Linked DNA regions of Mus musculus. The protein of the gene in region 1 interacts with the protein of each later gene in a pairwise test. Links are inferred from orthologs where the notes say so. Each region holds a gene or a part of one and is shown on either strand. Other genes may lie near its edges.

The links. The genes of interacting proteins can lie anywhere in the genome.
Region 2: the proteins of Trip6 (region 1) and Snai1 interact in binary tests that used the Homo sapiens proteins (3 or more experiments, as listed by UniProt). The two-hybrid records come from large-scale screens. The link is inferred for Mus musculus from reciprocal best matches to the Homo sapiens genes TRIP6 and SNAI1.
Region 3: the proteins of Trip6 (region 1) and Lpar2 interact in a two-hybrid assay, tested with the Homo sapiens proteins (2 studies listed by BioGRID). The link is inferred for Mus musculus from reciprocal best matches to the Homo sapiens genes TRIP6 and LPAR2.
Region 4: the proteins of Trip6 (region 1) and Mettl17 interact in binary tests that used the Homo sapiens proteins (3 or more experiments, as listed by UniProt). The link is inferred for Mus musculus from reciprocal best matches to the Homo sapiens genes TRIP6 and METTL17.
Region 5: the proteins of Trip6 (region 1) and Atxn1 interact in binary tests that used the Homo sapiens proteins (3 or more experiments, as listed by UniProt). The link is inferred for Mus musculus from reciprocal best matches to the Homo sapiens genes TRIP6 and ATXN1.

The regions. Positions count from the first base shown.
Region 1 is NC_000071.6:137,309,399-137,311,441, reverse strand, and holds the end of Trip6 (thyroid receptor-interacting protein 6), read left to right. Parts: intron 1-610; coding exon 611-789; exon of another isoform or gene 790-841; intron 842-1,036; coding exon 1,037-1,157; intron 1,158-1,267; coding exon 1,268-1,399; 3' UTR 1,400-1,543; downstream 1,544-2,043. UniProt on the Homo sapiens protein: Relays signals from the cell surface to the nucleus to weaken adherens junction and promote actin cytoskeleton reorganization and cell invasiveness. Involved in lysophosphatidic acid-induced cell adhesion and migration.
Region 2 is NC_000068.7:167,537,013-167,540,994, forward strand, and holds the start of Snai1 (zinc finger protein SNAI1), read left to right. Parts: upstream 1-1,182; 5' UTR 1,183-1,277; coding exon 1,278-1,359; intron 1,360-1,658; coding exon 1,659-2,186; intron 2,187-3,982. UniProt on the Homo sapiens protein: Involved in induction of the epithelial to mesenchymal transition (EMT), formation and maintenance of embryonic mesoderm, growth arrest, survival and cell migration.
Region 3 is NC_000074.6:69,821,398-69,825,364, forward strand, and holds the start of Lpar2 (lysophosphatidic acid receptor 2), read left to right. Parts: upstream 1-1,167; 5' UTR 1,168-1,314; intron 1,315-2,156; 5' UTR 2,157-2,165; coding exon 2,166-2,898; intron 2,899-3,967. UniProt on the Homo sapiens protein: Receptor for lysophosphatidic acid (LPA), a mediator of diverse cellular activities. Seems to be coupled to the G(i)/G(o), G(12)/G(13), and G(q) families of heteromeric G proteins. Plays a key role in phospholipase C-beta (PLC-beta) signaling pathway.
Region 4 is NC_000080.6:51,883,536-51,887,641, forward strand, and holds the start of Mettl17 (methyltransferase-like protein 17, mitochondrial precursor), read left to right. Parts: upstream 1-1,306; 5' UTR 1,307-1,410; coding exon 1,411-1,488; intron 1,489-1,615; coding exon 1,616-1,769; intron 1,770-1,852; coding exon 1,853-1,987; intron 1,988-3,362; coding exon 3,363-3,444; intron 3,445-3,687; coding exon 3,688-3,769; intron 3,770-4,106. UniProt on the Homo sapiens protein: Mitochondrial ribosome (mitoribosome) assembly factor. Binds at the interface of the head and body domains of the mitochondrial small ribosomal subunit (mt-SSU), occluding the mRNA channel and preventing compaction of the head domain towards the body.
Region 5 is NC_000079.6:45,962,192-45,966,118, forward strand, and holds the start of Atxn1 (ataxin-1), read right to left. Parts: upstream 2,801-3,927; 5' UTR 2,624-2,800; intron 2,435-2,623; exon of another isoform or gene 2,414-2,434; intron 2,194-2,413; exon of another isoform or gene 1,383-2,193; intron 1,247-1,382; exon of another isoform or gene 1,138-1,246; intron 1-1,137. UniProt on the Homo sapiens protein: Chromatin-binding factor that repress Notch signaling in the absence of Notch intracellular domain by acting as a CBF1 corepressor. Binds to the HEY promoter and might assist, along with NCOR2, RBPJ-mediated repression. Binds RNA in vitro.

The DNA of each region.
Region 1 (2,043 bases):
CAGGGCTTCGTGCATGCTGGACAAACACTTTACCAACTGAGCTATGGCCCCAGGCTAAGGAATGAGTTAACTGTGGAGACTAGATGAAGGAGGGAAAGACAGCTCCTCCTTTCAAGCGGGTGGGTGCCTGCCTGCCTGCCTGCCTGCCTGCCTGCCTGCCTGCCTGCCTTCCTTCCTTCCTTCCTTCCTTCCTTCCTTCCTTCCTTCCTTCCTTCCTTCCTTCCTTCCTTCCTTCCAGACGGAGTCTTACTGTGTAGCCCAGGCTGATCCTAAAGTTATGGTTCTCCTGCTTCAGCCTCCCAAGAGCTAGGAAACCGGATATGTGCCACTGTGCCAGCTGGAAGGCATTTTAGAGTTGAGGTTATTTGTGAAAATCTGACAGCATTCCTCAGAGGCATTACTGATTCATCTCACTGAAAGATGAAGTGTGTGGAGACCAAATCCCTTGTCTAGAGGCTTCAGTGCTGCTCTTAGACCTCAGAAATGCTAAGTCCACCTTCCACTGAATCCCATGCAGGGAACTACACACACCAGATGGCTGGGCAGAGAGTACTCCTTCCTGGCTGGAGTGGCTTCCCTCCACTGACCTTCCTTCCTCTTTTTTCGTTAGGCCACCCTGGAGAAATGTTCCACATGCTCTGAACCCATCCTGGACCGAATCCTGAGGGCTATGGGGAAGGCGTACCACCCTGGTTGCTTCACCTGTGTGGTATGCCACCGTGGTCTTGATGGCATCCCGTTCACAGTGGACGCCACCAGCCAGATCCACTGCATTGAAGATTTCCACAGGTCTTGCCTGGATTCAGCATGTCTTCACTGACCTATTTCTTCATGTCCCAGGGTCTGCCTCTTCTGTTTCCACCTTCTGGTGCTCTCTTTCTTTGACACCACTTTCTTCCCCAAGACCCAGACACATCTCTTATATCCTTCTCATCCCCACCCCTGCCCCTTCCACCTTCATTGGGCTTCATTTTGAGTCTCCTGATGGTGTGGGAGGGAGGGACCTGATAGCCTCTTTGGTTCCCCTCCACTGCAGGAAATTTGCCCCACGATGCTCAGTGTGTGGTGGGGCCATCATGCCGGAACCAGGTCAGGAGGAGACGGTGAGAATTGTTGCTCTGGATCGAAGTTTCCACATCGGCTGTTACAAGTGTGAGGTGAGGGGGGGTCCCTGGGCAGGAGCGAGAGCTTTGCAGAGCCCGGGAAGCTGGGGGAAAAGCACTGTGGGAAAGTCCCAGGCTAATGAAGGTTTTGTTCTTTCTCACAGGAGTGTGGGCTGCTGCTGTCCTCTGAGGGAGAGTGTCAAGGCTGCTACCCGCTGGATGGGCACATCTTGTGCAAGGCTTGCAGCGCCTGGCGTATCCAAGAGCTCTCAGCCACTGTCACCACTGATTGTTGACTGCTCTGAGAAGTACCTGCTGGGATCTCAGCCCCCGTCCGTCCGTCCGTCACTTCCCCCAACATCTACCCTTAGTGTTTGCCATCAAATGCTGTCTTTTCTTCCTCTCTTCATGAAATAATAATCCCTGGAGCATTTAAAAGCACTTCCAAGTCTGTTCTTTATTGGAGTCTCACAGGATGAGGCTGGTGAAAGCTTGAACTCCAGCACTCAGGAGGCGGAGGCAGAGTGTGAGTTTGAGCCCAGCCTAGTTTACATACTAAGTTCCAGGACAGTGAGGGGCTACATAATGAGATCCTGCATATCTTTTATTAACTCTCATCCTGTACTATTGTTGTTGTTACATAAATTAACCTGTTTACTGTAGGCTAGGGATGTCTCAGATGATTGGATTTCTGCTGGTCTTTCAAGTCCTTCAGACTTCTGATGCCAGATACAACAGCAGAAGTGGTGTCGCAGATCTGGGCTGCACCAGCCACCACAGTGCCAGATGCCAGTGGCCTGTTTTCTTCATCTTGGTCTTGCTCCAGAAGGAACAAATATACCTGGTGTGCTCATCGATTTCAATTTTCCATGCCATTCTCCAGAGGGAGGCATCATCTCGGATCCTATGTTTACTTACGATGCTGACCTGCTCGGTGCAT
Region 2 (3,982 bases), on another chromosome or scaffold:
CCGTTGGGACGAGGGTGGTGGTGGGGCGCTGTGTGCTCTCCCTCTGGACTCAGGGAGACTCATGGATGAACTAAATCTACCCAGAGGGCAGTGTTCTCCACGATGGTTGCCTGTTGTCTGACCATCCTCCCACTCCCCCACCCCCCACCCCCAGTGCTGGGAGTCTGATTCTATTCCCTGTTGTTACCTCCAGTGCCTAGAGACTCGATGCTAGCTGGTGCCCCAGAGGTTTCCGTAGACCCTCTGCTTTATAGGTGTTTATAACCCCATACTATGGGGGTGTGGGTTTGGTTTCCGAGGCCACCCTTCCTCCCTGTGAACGTTCCAACACGATTTTCAGGAAGTCGGGAGCCTTAGCCCTGGTCCTTGCTACCTCTGCCTCGCACCTGCCCTTATTGGTGTTTCACAATGCAACTCTAAACACGTCCGTCCTCAGCTGAAAGTCCTTCCGTGACTCCCCAGTGCCTGTAAGGCAAAGTCCAAACTCCTCCAAAGACCCGAGGCCAGGAAATCGGACCCCTCAGGGTCTGCCCAACACCAACCTCATCCTGGAACCTGCTCTCAAAGGTTGGACAGGCAGAAGTTACTGATTCTTACCCCGGGCCTTTCCCCTCGGTGCTTCTTCACTTCCTCTAGGAAGTCATAGACACCCTCCCCTGTCAGGTGACCGTTCATTGACAGTCACAGCTGTCTCTCCCCACCTCCTTTCATCAAATCACACCTCCCTTTAGTATTCGAATCCTCTGTTTATTCTGTCTGTCTCTCTCTCCCACGGCCGGGAAGCCATCCTTGCGTAGGGCATCCCTGGGTAGTGTTTTGTTCAGGGCTGTGTAGACAGTTCCAGGAACCCCTAAGCGCGTGCATATCATCGCACTTTCTGGCTCCCCAGCGCCCAAAGGTCAGCAGCTCGGGGATGTTGCGGGGCACCGCGCTCGTCGTGGGGCAGGCGCGGCCACCAGGGGTCGCCCGAGGAGCTCGGAAGCCGCGCGGTCCGGTCCGGGAGGAGCCCAAGCGGAATCTCAGCGCCACGCGGCGGGAGCCCCAGCAGCCCAGGCGCACCTGCTCCGGTCTCAGTCTCCGGCCGCGCCGCCGCCAGCCATTGGCTCAGCCTTGACAAAGGGGCGTGACCAACAGTACGGTCACGCCCCCAGCCCTGGTACTTAAAGGAATTTGCTGCTGCTAGGGGATCGTAGTGTGCGGCCGGGCCTCGCGAGCGGAGTTGACTACCGACCTTGCGCGACCCGGTGACCCCGACTACCTAGGTCGCTCTGGCCAACATGCCGCGCTCCTTCCTGGTCAGGAAGCCGTCCGACCCCCGCCGGAAGCCCAACTATAGCGAGCTGCAGGACGCGTGTGTGGGTGCGTGGTGGGGTGCGGGACGCGGGCGGCTGGGGGGGATCCCAAGGGTGCTGGGGGGAGGTGAGAATCGGGCTCTGCGGGCGCGACAGGTGGATCTGGAGCTCCGGGTCTTGGCAGTTGGGATCCACCGAGGGTGTCTTTGACCCGGGACGGGGAGGCTCCGGGAGTTGAAGACTCGAAGGCGGGGGTAGCTTTGCGGAGTCCGGGCGGGGGAGGGGAGGGGCGGGCGGGAAGCCCCCCCACCTGGCGCCCCGAGAATCCGCTCAGCTGACTCCCTGCTGTCTCTTCTCTTCCCGCAGAGTTCACCTTCCAGCAGCCCTACGACCAGGCCCACCTGCTGGCCGCCATCCCTCCGCCCGAGGTCCTCAACCCCGCCGCTTCGCTGCCCACCCTCATCTGGGACTCTCTCCTGGTACCCCAAGTGCGGCCGGTTGCCTGGGCCACCCTCCCGCTGCGGGAGAGCCCCAAGGCCGTAGAGCTGACCTCGCTGTCCGATGAGGACAGTGGCAAAAGCTCCCAGCCGCCCAGCCCGCCCTCGCCGGCGCCGTCGTCCTTCTCGTCCACCTCGGCCTCCTCCCTGGAGGCCGAGGCCTTCATCGCCTTCCCTGGCTTGGGCCAACTTCCCAAGCAGCTGGCCAGGCTCTCGGTGGCCAAGGACCCCCAGTCGCGGAAGATCTTCAACTGCAAATATTGTAACAAGGAGTACCTCAGCCTGGGCGCTCTGAAGATGCACATCCGAAGCCACACGCTGCCTTGTGTCTGCACGACCTGTGGAAAGGCCTTCTCTAGGCCCTGGCTGCTTCAGGGCCACGTCCGCACCCACACTGGTGAGTGAGTGTGCATAGCTGAGCTCTGAGTCTGGGCTGTTTGGCCTTAGACCCTGGGGGGACTCAACACTTACTCCTAAGGCTGCCAAGCAGTGGACAAAGTAGATGTTGGTTGTTCTCCATTCTGTACCTTGCTGTTCGAGGCTAGGAGTGAAGAGGTGTTCCCTATCCGGGCTCAACCCACACTGTAGAAGTCAGACAGGATATTGCTAGACAGGATATTCTGCACCTGGCCTTGAATCCTGAGTCGAGAACTTCCCCAGTTTCCTCGTTTCTAAAATGTATCAGAGAACACTTCGTGGGGTCTTTGTAGAGTGAAGTGCTAGGTGCAGGTGCCACTAAGAAATGACTTCCCAGTGACTATGAAGACGGCTCAGTGGTTAGAGCACTGGCTACTCTTCCAGAGGTCCTGAGTTCAATTCCCAGCACACATGGTAGTTCACAACTTAACTAACTGCCTGTTAAGAGTCCAGTTCCAGAGGACCTGACACCCTCATACAGACATACATGCAGGCAACATACCAATCCATGTAGGACAAGAATAGAATAGACACATCTTTTTTTTTTTTTTTTTTTTTTTTTTTTAAGAAGAGAAACAAAGACATGACTTTGCTGTCCTCTCAGCCTTGGGCCACGTGGGAAGCTTCTAGAAGTGAGGGAAGGCTTCAGCCAGGCTTGGTGGGGGTTCCGGTTGGGCTGCTCTTTGGAAAGTGTGTCAGGCTTTGGGGTAGAGCTGTGCGTCTCTTGTGGTGGCCAGCATTGGGGCAGTGAGGCCTGGGGGTGGCAGGGAGGTATTTGCAGGTCTCACTGACACCTTTATTACTTGAATAAGATTACCCGTTTCCCCCCCCCAGGCACGGATTGCCTCAGATTTAACCTATAAAAGTGTAACAGGCTGCCTCTCTCCGGCTGGGTTGCTAAGCTGTGGGGCTCTACTTTGGGGAAGAGCTGAAGCCCTCAGGGTCCTAGGCTGCCTCCGACCACCCCCCACCCCCCAGGGACTTTGTTTTGATGTAAAGGCATGGCTCAGACAAAACCCTCCTTGAAATGCACCACCCAGTTCTCTAGGAGTTCCATTGTGTGTCTTAATGGTAGCCCAGGGGGTGGGGGCCTGCAGGGTTAGAGCAGGTGCACGGGGCAGCGGTGCCCAGCACCTGTTCTTGGCCGCAGCTGCTGGCTCATTGCACGGCAGGCCCCTTTAATCCAGGGGGTATCACATGTACAGTGTCCCCCTTAGTGGCCTTTGTCCCAGCCGGCCTGGTGCCGATTTCACACTTGCCAGGAACACTATGAAGGCGTCTGGGGGTCGGGGATCTGTGAAGAGAGAGAGAGTGTGTGTGTGTGTGGGGGGGGGGGTGTCTACACTTCCTGTGCAAGCCCAGAGACTCCCAGCTCCATCCCACCCTGTGTTATCTTGAAACCTCCCTTTTGTTAAGTACTTCAGTTCGCCTGTCCCTGCTAAACGGACAGGTAGTGGTTAGGCCATTCTAGGGAGGGGGCAACACCCCTTACTTGTAGGGACCCACAGATTGCCAAGGTCCACCACCACCCAGGGCTTTGGAGCCCCACCTGTGTAGCTGAAGACTTGTGTGGGTTTGTGCCCCCTAGGGGGGCTGAAAGCGGCTCTGTTCAGTGAATACCTGCTGAGTGGGTGGATCCCGCAGGATCCCTGCTGAGATTTCCTCTATCCAGAGGCTCAGCACACCCAGGCGCCATTCCTCAGCCCCGAATTCCATCACTAGAATCCAACCAAAGGGCACCGCCTGTGGACTAGCAGGCTGGGAGGGACGGGAGGC
Region 3 (3,967 bases), on another chromosome or scaffold:
TGTTTTAAGCTAAGTCTCACTGTGTAGCTCTGGCTGGTCTGGAGCTCCCTTTGTGAGCCACAAATCCTCTGCCTCCCAAGTGCTGGCTAAATCTGTGTTCTTACAACCTCCAAATAAAACCATATCCTGCTGCCGGCAGGAGGGCTGACCGCAGTGGTGCTTGCTGTAAAGCCTCACATTTGTTGGACCTCCCAGAGCCACTTAGTGGAAGGAGAGAGCCCATCCCTACAAATTGTCTGACCTGTGCACATGCACAAATAAAAGAAAATTTTAATTTAAAAAAAAAAATCCGCTGGGCGGTAGTGCCACACACCTCTACTTGATCCTAGCACTCAGGAGATAGAGGCAGGAGGATCTCTGAGTTTTATGCCAGCCAGGTGTACAGAGAAAGTTCCAGGACAGCCAGGGCTACACAGAGAAACCCTGTTTCAGAAAAACAAAATAAAATAAGATAAATCTTGTCTGTTCTTGCACATTTGTCTTTGTGCTGGAATGCTGACAATAAGTCACCAGTAAGAGCAGCGTCTTTAACCCTTTATTAAGGGCCAGATGATGGAACCAAGGCTTCTAAACACACCCTGGGAAACCTACTGGCAATTAGTGTAGGGCCTGGAGCCCAAGATGAGTCACTCAGCTCAGTGTCCCTGATCCGGTTCTACACAATCAAATACAACTCGGTGCAGATAATCGGGACAATGGGGCTGTGTGCTGCGAACCGGGGGAGGTCAGGGGAGGAGGCTGCTGCAGGCTCGAGCCAGCGGCAGGCTGGGGCGAGACTTCGGGAAGCAAGGTAGTGCGGCAGCAGTGGGGCGAGGGTCCAGCCGGGAGATTGACCACGGAACAGTGGGGCGGGGCTTGCAGCTCGGTAAAGGATTGGACAGAAACGGGGGGGGGGGCGCCCGCAGAGCCCCCCCCCCCCCCGCTGTGGATCTTTTCAACTGCCAGGTGACTCAGCCCCAAAGGCGCGAAAGGGCAAGCACGTGAGATGTGCGGGGGGGGGGGGGGGGGGGAGTAGAAAGGGTGCCCCACGTGGGAAAAGGGGGCTGTGGGGAGGCGGTGAAATGACCACAGTTTCAGGAGATCACACTTCCGACGTGGGGGTGGGACTTTCCAGGGGGCGGGACACCCCCAAGGGCCAAGAGCTAAGGCAGGTGGGGGCGTGGCTTTGAGGTCCCGCCTCTCCCGCCTCCTCAGCCGGGGGCTCCAGGAACACCGGACGCTGCTGCGCAACCGCTCGGTTGCCCGGCCATGGGTCTCAGTCCTGCTTCAACCCACCGCGAGCCAGCCCCATCTGCCGCTTGACTGGATGTGCAGGTAAGACCAACACCAACCGGTTTAGGGTGGGTGCAGGCCACCGAAGAAAGCGAGGCGGGGCCCCCTCTTCTCCACAATCCTTCTCCTAGCCCAGGGTTGTCTGCAATACCCTCTTTTGTCCTGGAGGCCTTCTTGGCCCTCAGTCCCACCCAGGAATGGACTGCTTTCAGAGCTCTTGCGCGGAATCCTGCCTGTAACTCAACTTCTGGGCGGTCTCTGTCTACTCTGCTCGCGCTAAGTCCCCTCAGTGCCTTGGCATTGCCCTCCGGGTGTTGACCACGGACCTCGCTCTGGTGTGCACACACCCCCTGGCCTCTGCACTGTGCAAGGACCCTGGCACAAGTTTGATCTTCTTAAGGCTAACCCCAGCAGCTCACTCCGCCTTTGTGCTGCCCCAGCCAACCCACCCACGCCCATTGAAAACCACAGGTGTCCAACCCAGTCACGGATTAGTGGCACGTGGCACTGAATTGCAATGTGGATGCATTTGCTCTGGGTTCTTAAGATTTAAAAAAGAAAAGAAAAGCCGATCAGAAAACCGTTTTAAATTGTTATGCCAGCATTCAGCAGAGGCTAGTGGATCTCTGATTTTGAGGCCAGTGTGGTCTCAAAGCAAGTTCTAGGTCAGTTGGGATGCATCGAGAGACCCTGCTTTATGAGTAAATAAATAGAAATTGCTTTTTAAAGGTCACTTTGGCCTTCAGCACAGACTTCTTGCACAGAGGGCCTCTGATCCTGTAGGTTGCACTCACCCAATCTTGATTCTAGTCTCTGGCCACTGCTTTGTTCAAGTGCCCTTCCATCAGGGGCCACCTGCACTGATCTGTCTTCTGTATCCACAGGCAGCCATCATGGGCCAGTGCTACTACAACGAGACCATCGGCTTTTTCTATAATAACAGCGGCAAGGAGCTCAGCCTTCACTGGCGCCCCAAAGATGTGGTGGTGGTGGCCCTGGGGCTGACAGTCAGTGTGCTGGTATTGCTGACCAATCTGCTGGTTATTGCAGCCATCGCCTCCAACCGACGCTTCCACCAGCCCATATACTACCTGCTTGGCAACTTGGCTGCGGCTGACCTCTTCGCTGGCATGGCCTACCTCTTCCTCATGTTCCATACTGGCCCACGCACTGCCAGGCTCTCCATCAAAGGCTGGTTCCTGCGACAGGGCCTGCTGGACACCAGCCTCACGGCGTCAGTGGCCACACTGCTGGCCATCGCTGTGGAACGGCACCGCAGTGTGATGGCGGTACAGCTACACAGCCGCCTGCCCCGGGGCCGTGTGGTCACACTCATCGTGGGTGTGTGGGCGGCTGCACTGGGTCTGGGGTTGCTACCTGCACACTTCTGGCACTGCCTCTGTGACTTGGACAGTTGCTCACGCATGGTGCCCCTGTTCAGCCGCTCCTACTTGGCTGCGTGGGCCCTATCCAGCCTGCTTGTCTTCCTACTCATGGTAGCTGTCTACACACGAATTTTCTTCTATGTGCGTAGACGGGTGGAACGCATGGCGGAGCACGTCAGCTGCCATCCCCGCTACCGAGAGACCACACTCAGCCTAGTCAAGACGGTTGTCATCATTCTGGGTGAGTGGGTGCTCTGACAATAGCTTTAGGAGGGGACTTGCCATAGGACCCTGGGACCCTGAAGCAATAAGGGAGGGGGTGTTTCCCAAGCAGACTCCAAAGAGGTAAAAATGCCAGCCTACAAGAGGAGAAAAGGCTAGCCTCAGTTTTCACCTGTTTCTCAAAGGAAACCATTTATCGGTCTTTTTTGTTTGATTGTGTTTCAGGCAGAGTCTCATGTAGCCCAGGCTGGCTTCATGACCTTATCCTTATCTTTTTGCCTTTGTCTCTCAAGGGATAGGGCAGGCTAGCATTCTTGTAATCAGTTGCCATCCTCAGCCCTGGTTGGTTTTGTTTTGTTGTTTTGTTTTGTGAGATAAGGTCTCTGAGGCCCTGGTTGTCCTGGAACTCAATCTGTAGTCCAGGCAGGCTGGCCTTCAACCCAAAAAAGTTCTGCCTGCCTCTGCCTCCCGAATGCTGGGATTAAAGGTGTGGTTCACTACATCCCCAGCCTTTCTTCAGATTTATTTTTTATTTGTGCATGTGTGTTTGTGTGACTGTGAGATTGTATTTGGGTTTATGCAGATGTGTGCGGGTGCATGCTGAGGCTAGAGGCATCCTAGGCCCTTGGAGCTGAGAGTACAAGCAGTTTTGAGCTGTCTGATGTAGGTGTCGGGGATGAGACTCTGGTACTCTGAACCATTAAAGCCATCTCTCTCTAGCCCTGGTTGTTATTTTTGCTTACTTGTTTATTTGACTTTCTTTTGAGGTTGGGTATCACTGTATAGTCCAGACTGGCTTGGAGCTCACTTGGTAGACCAGGCTGGCCTCAAACTCACACAGATACATGCCTCTGTGCCCCCCTGCCCTCCACCTCCGAGTGCTGGGATTAAAATAAGCACCATCACACTGGGCTGGCTTCATTTCTTTAATTCAGGGTTTCATGAAGTTCAGGGGGGACCTGAAGCTCTCTCTGTAGCTGAGGCAGGCCTCAGAGCCCTGATCTTCCTATTCCTCTTCCCCTGGGACGATGGGTATGTGCCACCACACCTTCCTATTCCTCTTCCCCTGGGGCGATGGGTATGTGCCA
Region 4 (4,106 bases), on another chromosome or scaffold:
CCTCTACTACCCACATAAGACAAACCAAGCATCTAAGAATCCAGCTCACACAGATACCCATATATGGTCCTGTAACTTTTCTAATTGGACTGAAGACTATAGAGTACTCTTCGTCCTGTCAGCTAACTTCTGCCCCCAAGAGGCTAAAGAGGAAACCACAGCTGGGTAAAGTACTGCTGCCGGGACCCAAGAATTTACAGGTCCATGAGTCTTTTTTTTTTTTTTTTTTAAAGATGTATGAGTGCTCTGCTGCATATACATCCACAGGCCAGAAGAGGGCATCAAATCCCCTTACAGATGGTTGTGAGCCACCATGTGATTGCTAGGATTTAAACTCAGAACCTCTAGAAGAGCAATCAGTGCTCTTAACCGCTGAGCCATCTCTCCAGCCCCAGGTTTTGGGGGGTTTTGTTGTTGTTGTTGTTGTTTCCCCACACACACACTGATTAACCCTTCGAACATTTAGCTTAAAATTCTCCATTTGCATTTCAAGGACCAACAATACCCAGTACGGTGCATTGTTTAAAAATGTAACTCTGACTTTCGACTCCCTAGCACTTAATTCAGCTATCACCTATTAAGTTCATGAACTTGGGTAAATTAACCACGTGAAAAATTAAGTTAGCAACAGATGTTTGTGGAAATAAGATGGCGGGAATTCGGTGTGCTACGTGGGAAGCTCTTGATAGAAAACCTGGAGCAAACTCGCAGACAACAAATGTGAAAAAAAAGTAAGCTAATTTTTATATTTATTAATTTGCAAACTGTAATAGTTATTAGCGCTCATCGTTGACTGCCTAAATCTGATTTTTGTTATGGTCTTGTCCCGTCTCACAAAGGGAAACTAGCCACGGTTCAGAATTCTACAGCACCAAATGAAAACAAAGAAAGTCCACACTTTCCTTTTCACCTGCCTACCCCACTCTCAGCCCCACTCCTGCCCCCACCCCCGCCCAGCCCTGCCCCCGCCTCTGTCCTCCCAAGTCCCACTCCCTACCACCCCCCCACGTCCCCTTCTATCTCCCCACCCCAGTGAGACTGCTTCCCCCTCCACGCCGCCCCCATCTCCCTACTCCCCCAACCCCTCTCCCTCCTACCCCACTAGCCCCCCCTAACCCGTGAGACTGATCCCTCCCCATCACAAAACACGCCCAAGCCGGGTTGGTCTCGCCCGCAGCCACGCTCAGCATTGAGACCACGCCCCTTCTGAAGGCTAAGCCCCTCCCACGAACGGCCTTCTTCGCAGAGACGTACATAAGGTACATAAGGTCGCTTATTGGCTGTTAGCAAATACTCCCTCTTCTCATTAGTTGATACCGTCCGGGTCGAAGTTCCACGGAAGATGCTCTTAGCTGCTTGGGCTGAGGGTTACAGGCATGTGTACTTCCGTTTCCGGTGTGTCCTGAAGCCATGGCCACCGCCAGGACACCGAGATTTCTGCTGCTGTTCTGCAGATCCTGCCGCAGCCTTCGAGGACCCCAGTCCCGAGTAAGTGCATCTTCCTCTGCTGGCGGAGAACTGGGTTTCCAGAGACATCTCTCGGAGGAGGAGCGACCTCGGCGATGCCTCGGGCAGCAAGCACCTGCAACCATTCTGTTTCTTTCGCTGTCTGCAGGCATACGCCGCCCTTGTGCCCGGTGTGTCCCAGGTAGACAACGGGTCGGATTTCCTGGGGAAGAAGCCCCATCGAAAGCATCCCGGCATCCTGCATCTTCCGCACGTCCAGCTGCCGCAAGCACTGGCTGACGCCGCACAGTTAATGCTTTTTGGTGAGAAACTGCGGGAAGGGGAAGCCAGATAAAACCAAACGAGGCCAGCACGCAGCGATGACCCTTTCCATCTGTGACCACAGAGAGACCCATGCGCAGTGTAGAGAAGCAGGTGCAAGCACTCACCAACTATCTCTGGAGCCGACATTTACCTGTAGAGCCGGAGGAGTTGCAAAGACGGGCTGCGTATCTTGAGAAAAAATTCCTGGAAAAACAAGGTAGGGCTTAAAACTAAAAGGCAAACCAGATTAAAATGTCAACGAGAAATTAGGATCAAAGAATAATTTAAATCTCTCAGATAAATACTGCTGTTTCTCATTTGATGCTGTAGTAACAGCCCTACTAGATGATGCCCTGCTAAGAAGGTAGGTTGGGCCAGAGGTTGCCCTTGGAGATTGGGTAAAGGTCAGAAGTTTTGGTCTTTCGGGTTTTTTTATAAAAAATTTCCCCTCCACCGCTGCAAGTCAAAGAGATTATGACTATATTTTGATTCAGGTAAGTAAAGGCCATATGGCAGGCAGTTCAGTAAACACGAAACCCCACCTCGGATAGAAAATTATTACATTTCAGATTATTTTTAAGACTATGGACTTCATATTGTAAATTTGCCTTTTATTCTTGTATTCCCTGCACGTCCCACAGTACCTGGTTCAGGGTAGTGTCTTAGTGTTCTATTGTTGAAGAGATACCATAATCACGGCAACTCTTAGAAAAGAGAGCTTTTAACTGGGGCTGGCTTACAGTTTCAGAGGTTTAGTCGGTTGTCAGCATGACAGCATGCAGGCAGGCATGGTGCTGAAGAAATAGCTGAGAGTTCTGCATCTGCATCGGGAACTGCAGGAACAGAGCGAGACTCTGGGCTTCTCATGGCCTTTTGAAACCTCAAAGCCCACCTCCTAATCCTTTCACGTAGTGCTACTCCCTGGTGACCAAGCATTCCAGCGGATGAGCCATTGGGGAGCAAATGGGGCCATTGTCATTCAAGCCACTACTGTAGGTGTTTGTAGAAATTTGCCCAGTGGTACAGAGCTCCACACAGTCCGGAGACTTGGATTTTCAAGCCCCTTTCTATGGTAATATTGAAGATGTCTCACTCCTAAGTGTCAGAGAGTGAAAAAGTCTATAAAAGTGCCCTTATCCTGGCTTTTATTTTTATCACATGGACAGGAGAGATGGTACAGAGTAAAAAAGCACTCACCACCAAACCTGATGACCTTCTACCAAATGGGTGAAGGTGAGAACTGACTCGGACCTATATGCACACAAGAAGTAAATATTTAAAAAAAAAAAATCATTTTTATCAGGCTTCTGCTCACTATGACGCAAAACTTGGATGGGTTAAGTTGACTAAACTACTATTCTAATAGTCTAGATACTATTAGGTAGATAATATACAGACAAGATAGTGTTGGAAAGTCTTTGATACTCTGGTGATGGTGGCGGTCATCAGTCTTATCCCTCTTCCCTGAAGTTTTGACCTTTCTCGGACTTTGAGCATTTTCTCAGACAGGAATGGGGAAGGCTGGGAGGCGTGTACTTCACGGGATCTAAGCCGTTCTCCTAAGTCCTCACCTCCAGTTCTTCTCACCCTAGACTCAGCTCCCACAGAGGAGAAACTTCGTGAGGCAGTACTGCATGCCCTGCGCAAAACTACCTACCATTGGCAGGAACTCAGGTACGGTCTTCCAGAAAGGGTACAAAGAAGGCATGTTACACGTGAGGAGAGCTGAAGAGGTAGTCAGCTTTGCGTTTGAGAAAGCCTCCTGAAGTCTTCTGTACTAGAAAGTGGAAGGACTAACCAGAAGAATCGTTTCAGATTTTTTGTTTCATAAACTTTAGAAGGTAACTGGGGCTAGGTTATTTCCTAAGTGGGGGAGGGGGGAGTCTCTGACTTGTTGTTGTTGTTGTTGTTTGACAGCTACAGTGAAGAGCTGAGTCTGATCTATATGGCAGCCAGATTGGACGGTGGTTTTGCTGCAGTTTTCAGGGCATTCCATGAGGTGAGAGTCTCTCAGCATCCAACCCAGCCCCCTTTGCCATTGGTTTTGTTTTCTGTAAATTAGCCTTCTGTGGTAGGAGTTCTTGGGATGTTATGCACACACTAATGGTTTTATTTATCCTTTGAAAACAATCCTGTGGCCTAAGAAAGGTTAGAATCACTGAGATGTTTCCTATCTGAAAGTATTTTTTTAATTCATTTACTGTATGTGAGTACACTGTTGCTGTCTTCAGACCCACCAGAAGAGGGCATCCGACCCCATTACAGATGGTTGTGAGCCGCCATGTGGTTGCTGGGAATTGAACTCAGGACCTCTGAAAGAGCAGTCAGTGCTCTTA
Region 5 (3,927 bases), on another chromosome or scaffold:
ATCAGGGCTGGAGTAAGTGTACAGAAAACTAACACCACAGACAGTATCTATGATGAGAGAGGCAGACAGGCAGGAGGCTTCTCAGCCTCAGCTTTATGTGGAAGGTGGCGTTCAAGCCAATTTATTTGCAAAGCTGCTAAAATATTGACTGATGCGTGGCCAGTTAGAGGACAATCAGAGGAGATTAAATGCCACAGCTAAGCTGTTATGGTGCAATCCCTTTCCAAGAGTTCTTGCGCATGTTTTTTCTTCTCTCTGGTGGCTACCTCTAGCTTCCCCTGGCATAAGCTTCATTCAAAAATAAAATAAAAATAAAAACCCTCGGCTATCAAACTGTCTTAGCTACCCACCCACCATCAGTAAACCAGAGGGTAGGCTTAACCCAGGCTTCTAGGAATGGCAGGGCTCTTCATAAAGCTGGACACGGTTTAGCAAACACTATTGCAAAAAAGTAACCAGCTGCGCCTAAAAATACCCAGCATGTAACTACCTTGTTGCCTACGATCTATAGCAGTGCTGTTTAAATATTAAGAAGAGCTCGCATTATAAAACAGAAATGTCACTGAGATGACACTACTAGGTTGCTACAGGGAAACATAGGGCATACACACATTCCCCTGCATACCAGGCAGAATGTGAGGTGAGAACTCTAAAGCATTACTTTTTATTCTGTAGGTGGTGTGGGGTCTTCTAATTTTACTAATTGTATCCTGTGGCTCTCTCTCTGACAAACTAAGAAACCTCTTCGGGGACAGAACCAGTTTGGAGGAGTTCCTACTGCACAACATACGGTAAACAAAATAAAAATAGCTTGCCTTTCTTGTTAGCCACATAGCGCATTATATAACCAGCTTCCGACTGGCTTCTTTTTTTTTTTTTCCGCCCTTACTACTCTTCAGCAATTTCCCAACCTTCCCCAAGTATTTATATTGCCCTCTTATCTGTAGGATTATACAGCAAGAAAGCAAAACAAAACAGGACAGCCACGGGATCGAACTAAACCCCATCCTCTTACCCCTGATCCTCCCCCCACCCCACCCCCCGCGCCCCTGGCAGAGTCTAGATACAGCACCCTACTTCCACCCCCCACCACTAAGGTCCTTGCTCAATCTCCCTAGAAAACCTGAATTGTTTCACCTCTTGCAGTCAGCTCTCTACGTGGTCTGAAATAAAATGAAAGCGCACAAGCCACAGAGTTGAAGGAGGCGGCTCAAGAGAGGTCGAAGCGCTGCAGAGTCAACCAAGGGACCACCGTGGACCCCCACCCCCACTCCCCGCTCCCCATCGCGATGGTCCTGGTCCCCGCCCGGCGCGCGAACACACGCACACACGCACCTACACACTCACACGCACTTACTCCCTCCTCTCCGACCCCGCCTCACCTCTCGCTCCGCCCGTCCGGCCCCTTCCCTGCCCCCTGCGGGACCGGCCTGCGCGCTCGGCTGCAACCACGTAGGAGGCGGCGGCGGTGGCGGCGGCAGCCCTGGCAGTGGCAGTGGCGGCGACTCGGGCCCCGAGTGAACGAGCCGCGGGGCTCCGGGGCACATCCCAATCCCCGCAGCGCCTCCTCCGCCGCCACCTCCTCCTTCCCCTCCTCCCGTCTTCATTCACCCTCTCTGCCGCCGCGCAGCAGAGCAGTCCCGGCGCAGGGCAGCGCCCGCAGCTCCTCCGCTACTGCTGCGGGCGCCGGCAGAGTCGCCGGGCCGGGCTGGGGCGCTCGCGGGCTCCCGGCTCCAGCTCCGGCGGTGGCGGCGGCGTCTGCTGCTGCTGCTCTGGATCAGGAAGCGGCCGCACCAACAGGGCGGCGGTGGCAGCTGCAGCTAGGGCCGGTCTTCTCCCGCTGCGCTGCGATGGCCCGCGCGCCCTTGCCTCCTGAGGCGCCACCTCTCCGCGCCCCTAGCCTCACGCAAAGTCCCCTCTTGGTCCCCTCGTAGCCCCGAGAGGCTGGCCTAGGCGGGGAGACCCCAAGCTCGGGGTTGCCTCTGTCAAGCTAGGCGACCCCGGGCGGGGAAGCCCAGCCCTCCCTCGAGCCCCCGCAGCGCTCACCGCCCCCACCCGGGAGGGGGGACTGGAGAGGAGCGAAGAGGGCAGCGCGACCCTCCGCGGCTGCCGCCTCCCCCTGCGCCACACGGAAGGAGGAGGACCGGGCTCTATCCGCTCGCCGCCGCCGGACCGGCAGCAGCCGAAACGGGGCGCCGCCGTTCTCCCCACCCGCGCCCCCCGCCCGGGCGCGCCCCCTCTCCTGGCGGCCGCCCACCCAGCCCCTATCTGCTGCCCTTGCTAGCCGCTCCTGCTCCCAGAGGGGGTCCCGAGCCGGGAGGCTGGAGCCGGGCACTAGTGTATGTACACACAGTCACACATACACTCGCGCGCGCGCCTGCACACACACACACACACACACACACACACACACCACGACGCGTCGGTTTCCTTCGCTCCTCTTCCAGCTGTTTTCCGTGCAGCCCATTGAGACTGGGGGAGGGGGGGTGTATGCTGGATGTTCTTTGGCCCCTCTCCGGAGAGAGCAGATTGGGGTGCGGGAGGGGGTGATTTTAATCTAAATCGGGGTGGAAGGGGGAGGGGGAGAGAAAGAATCAGAGGAGGAAAAAAAATAGCCACTTACTGTAAAGTGTAAATGGATCTGGGGTTGCGTGGGGAAGGGGTAACAGAGGGAGAGACACAGTGTCCTGCGGCTGCTGTAGCTCTAGCTGCGGCTCCACAGGGCTTGTTTTGGATCCCCCTGCAGTGAAACAGGTCCTGTACGGCTCCTCCACTGTAGTAGAAATGATGTCTGCGGTATACTCTGCTCTCTCCTCCTCCTCCTCCTCCTCCCCCCTCCCCTCCCTCCTCCCTCCGCCCGCCCTCCCTCCCTCGCGCTCTCTCTCGCGCTCGCTCGCTCGCTCCAGTATGTAAATGTGTAATAGAAGCCAAATATGGAGCAGTTGGCTGCCGCCGCCGCAGCTCAAGGATCCGACTTCATGGGGGGGGAGGGGGGGGGGAGGCACCCTCTGGCAGGCGGCCCGGCGAGCCGCACAGAGCACGGCGAGCGCACGGCGCGGCTGCCGGCCCGCGCCCTTAACCCTTCTATGCACCCGGGCTGGAGCGGCGCTCGCTCCAGGGGAGGCCGGGTTGTCTCTCCGCAACTGTGGCTCCGGATCCCCGACACCGACCGGAGGGGACTGTGCCTTCCAGGTTTGAGAAAGGGGCGGGGAAGTTGGGGCGATGAGGTCATTGGAGTGGTGACCGATCGGTGCTCGCGCGCCTCCCCGGCTCCCTGCAACCTAGTTGGAGGGGGACAGGGTGAGTGCAGGGTGCAACTCAGGCAACCTGGGAGACTCGCAGCGACGGGTGTCAGGATTTGGCTCCTACTTGGTAAAATACCCAAGGGGGCGGGGAAGTCGGCTGATTTCTAATTACGAAGTGCCCTTGGTGCCCCCCGGGTGAGCATCTAAAGAGGACTCATTGTATCCTTACTGTTAACCCTCCAACCCGCCAGCCCTGCGTCATCCGAGGCAAGGCCCGCGCCTGCTGCCTTGGCTTGCAACTCGGGAAAGTTCTCAGGCTTCCCCAGCTTGCACTGGCACCCTCACCTTTCCTGCCTGGACAAGCTGGCGACCTCCCGGTCCTCCTTTCAAATTCTGCTGGTCTCGAAATCTGCTGTGGGCATGGAACGCCTCAGCTCTAGCTAGCCCTGGTAACCGACCTCACTCACTCCTCAGGGCTAACTGTGGATCATTCATTTCATCGCAAGCGAGGTAACCTGTGCACTGAGCAGTCAGTCGATGGTGGTTCTCGGGGAAACCAAGCGAAGGAACGCTCCCCCACCCACCTTGTCCCGGTGGCTAAACGCAGACGTGGACTCCCCACCCGGCCCCCTCCGGCTACACCTCAGCCAAGCGTAAGCTCGAGGGAAGAACTCTTCTCTGG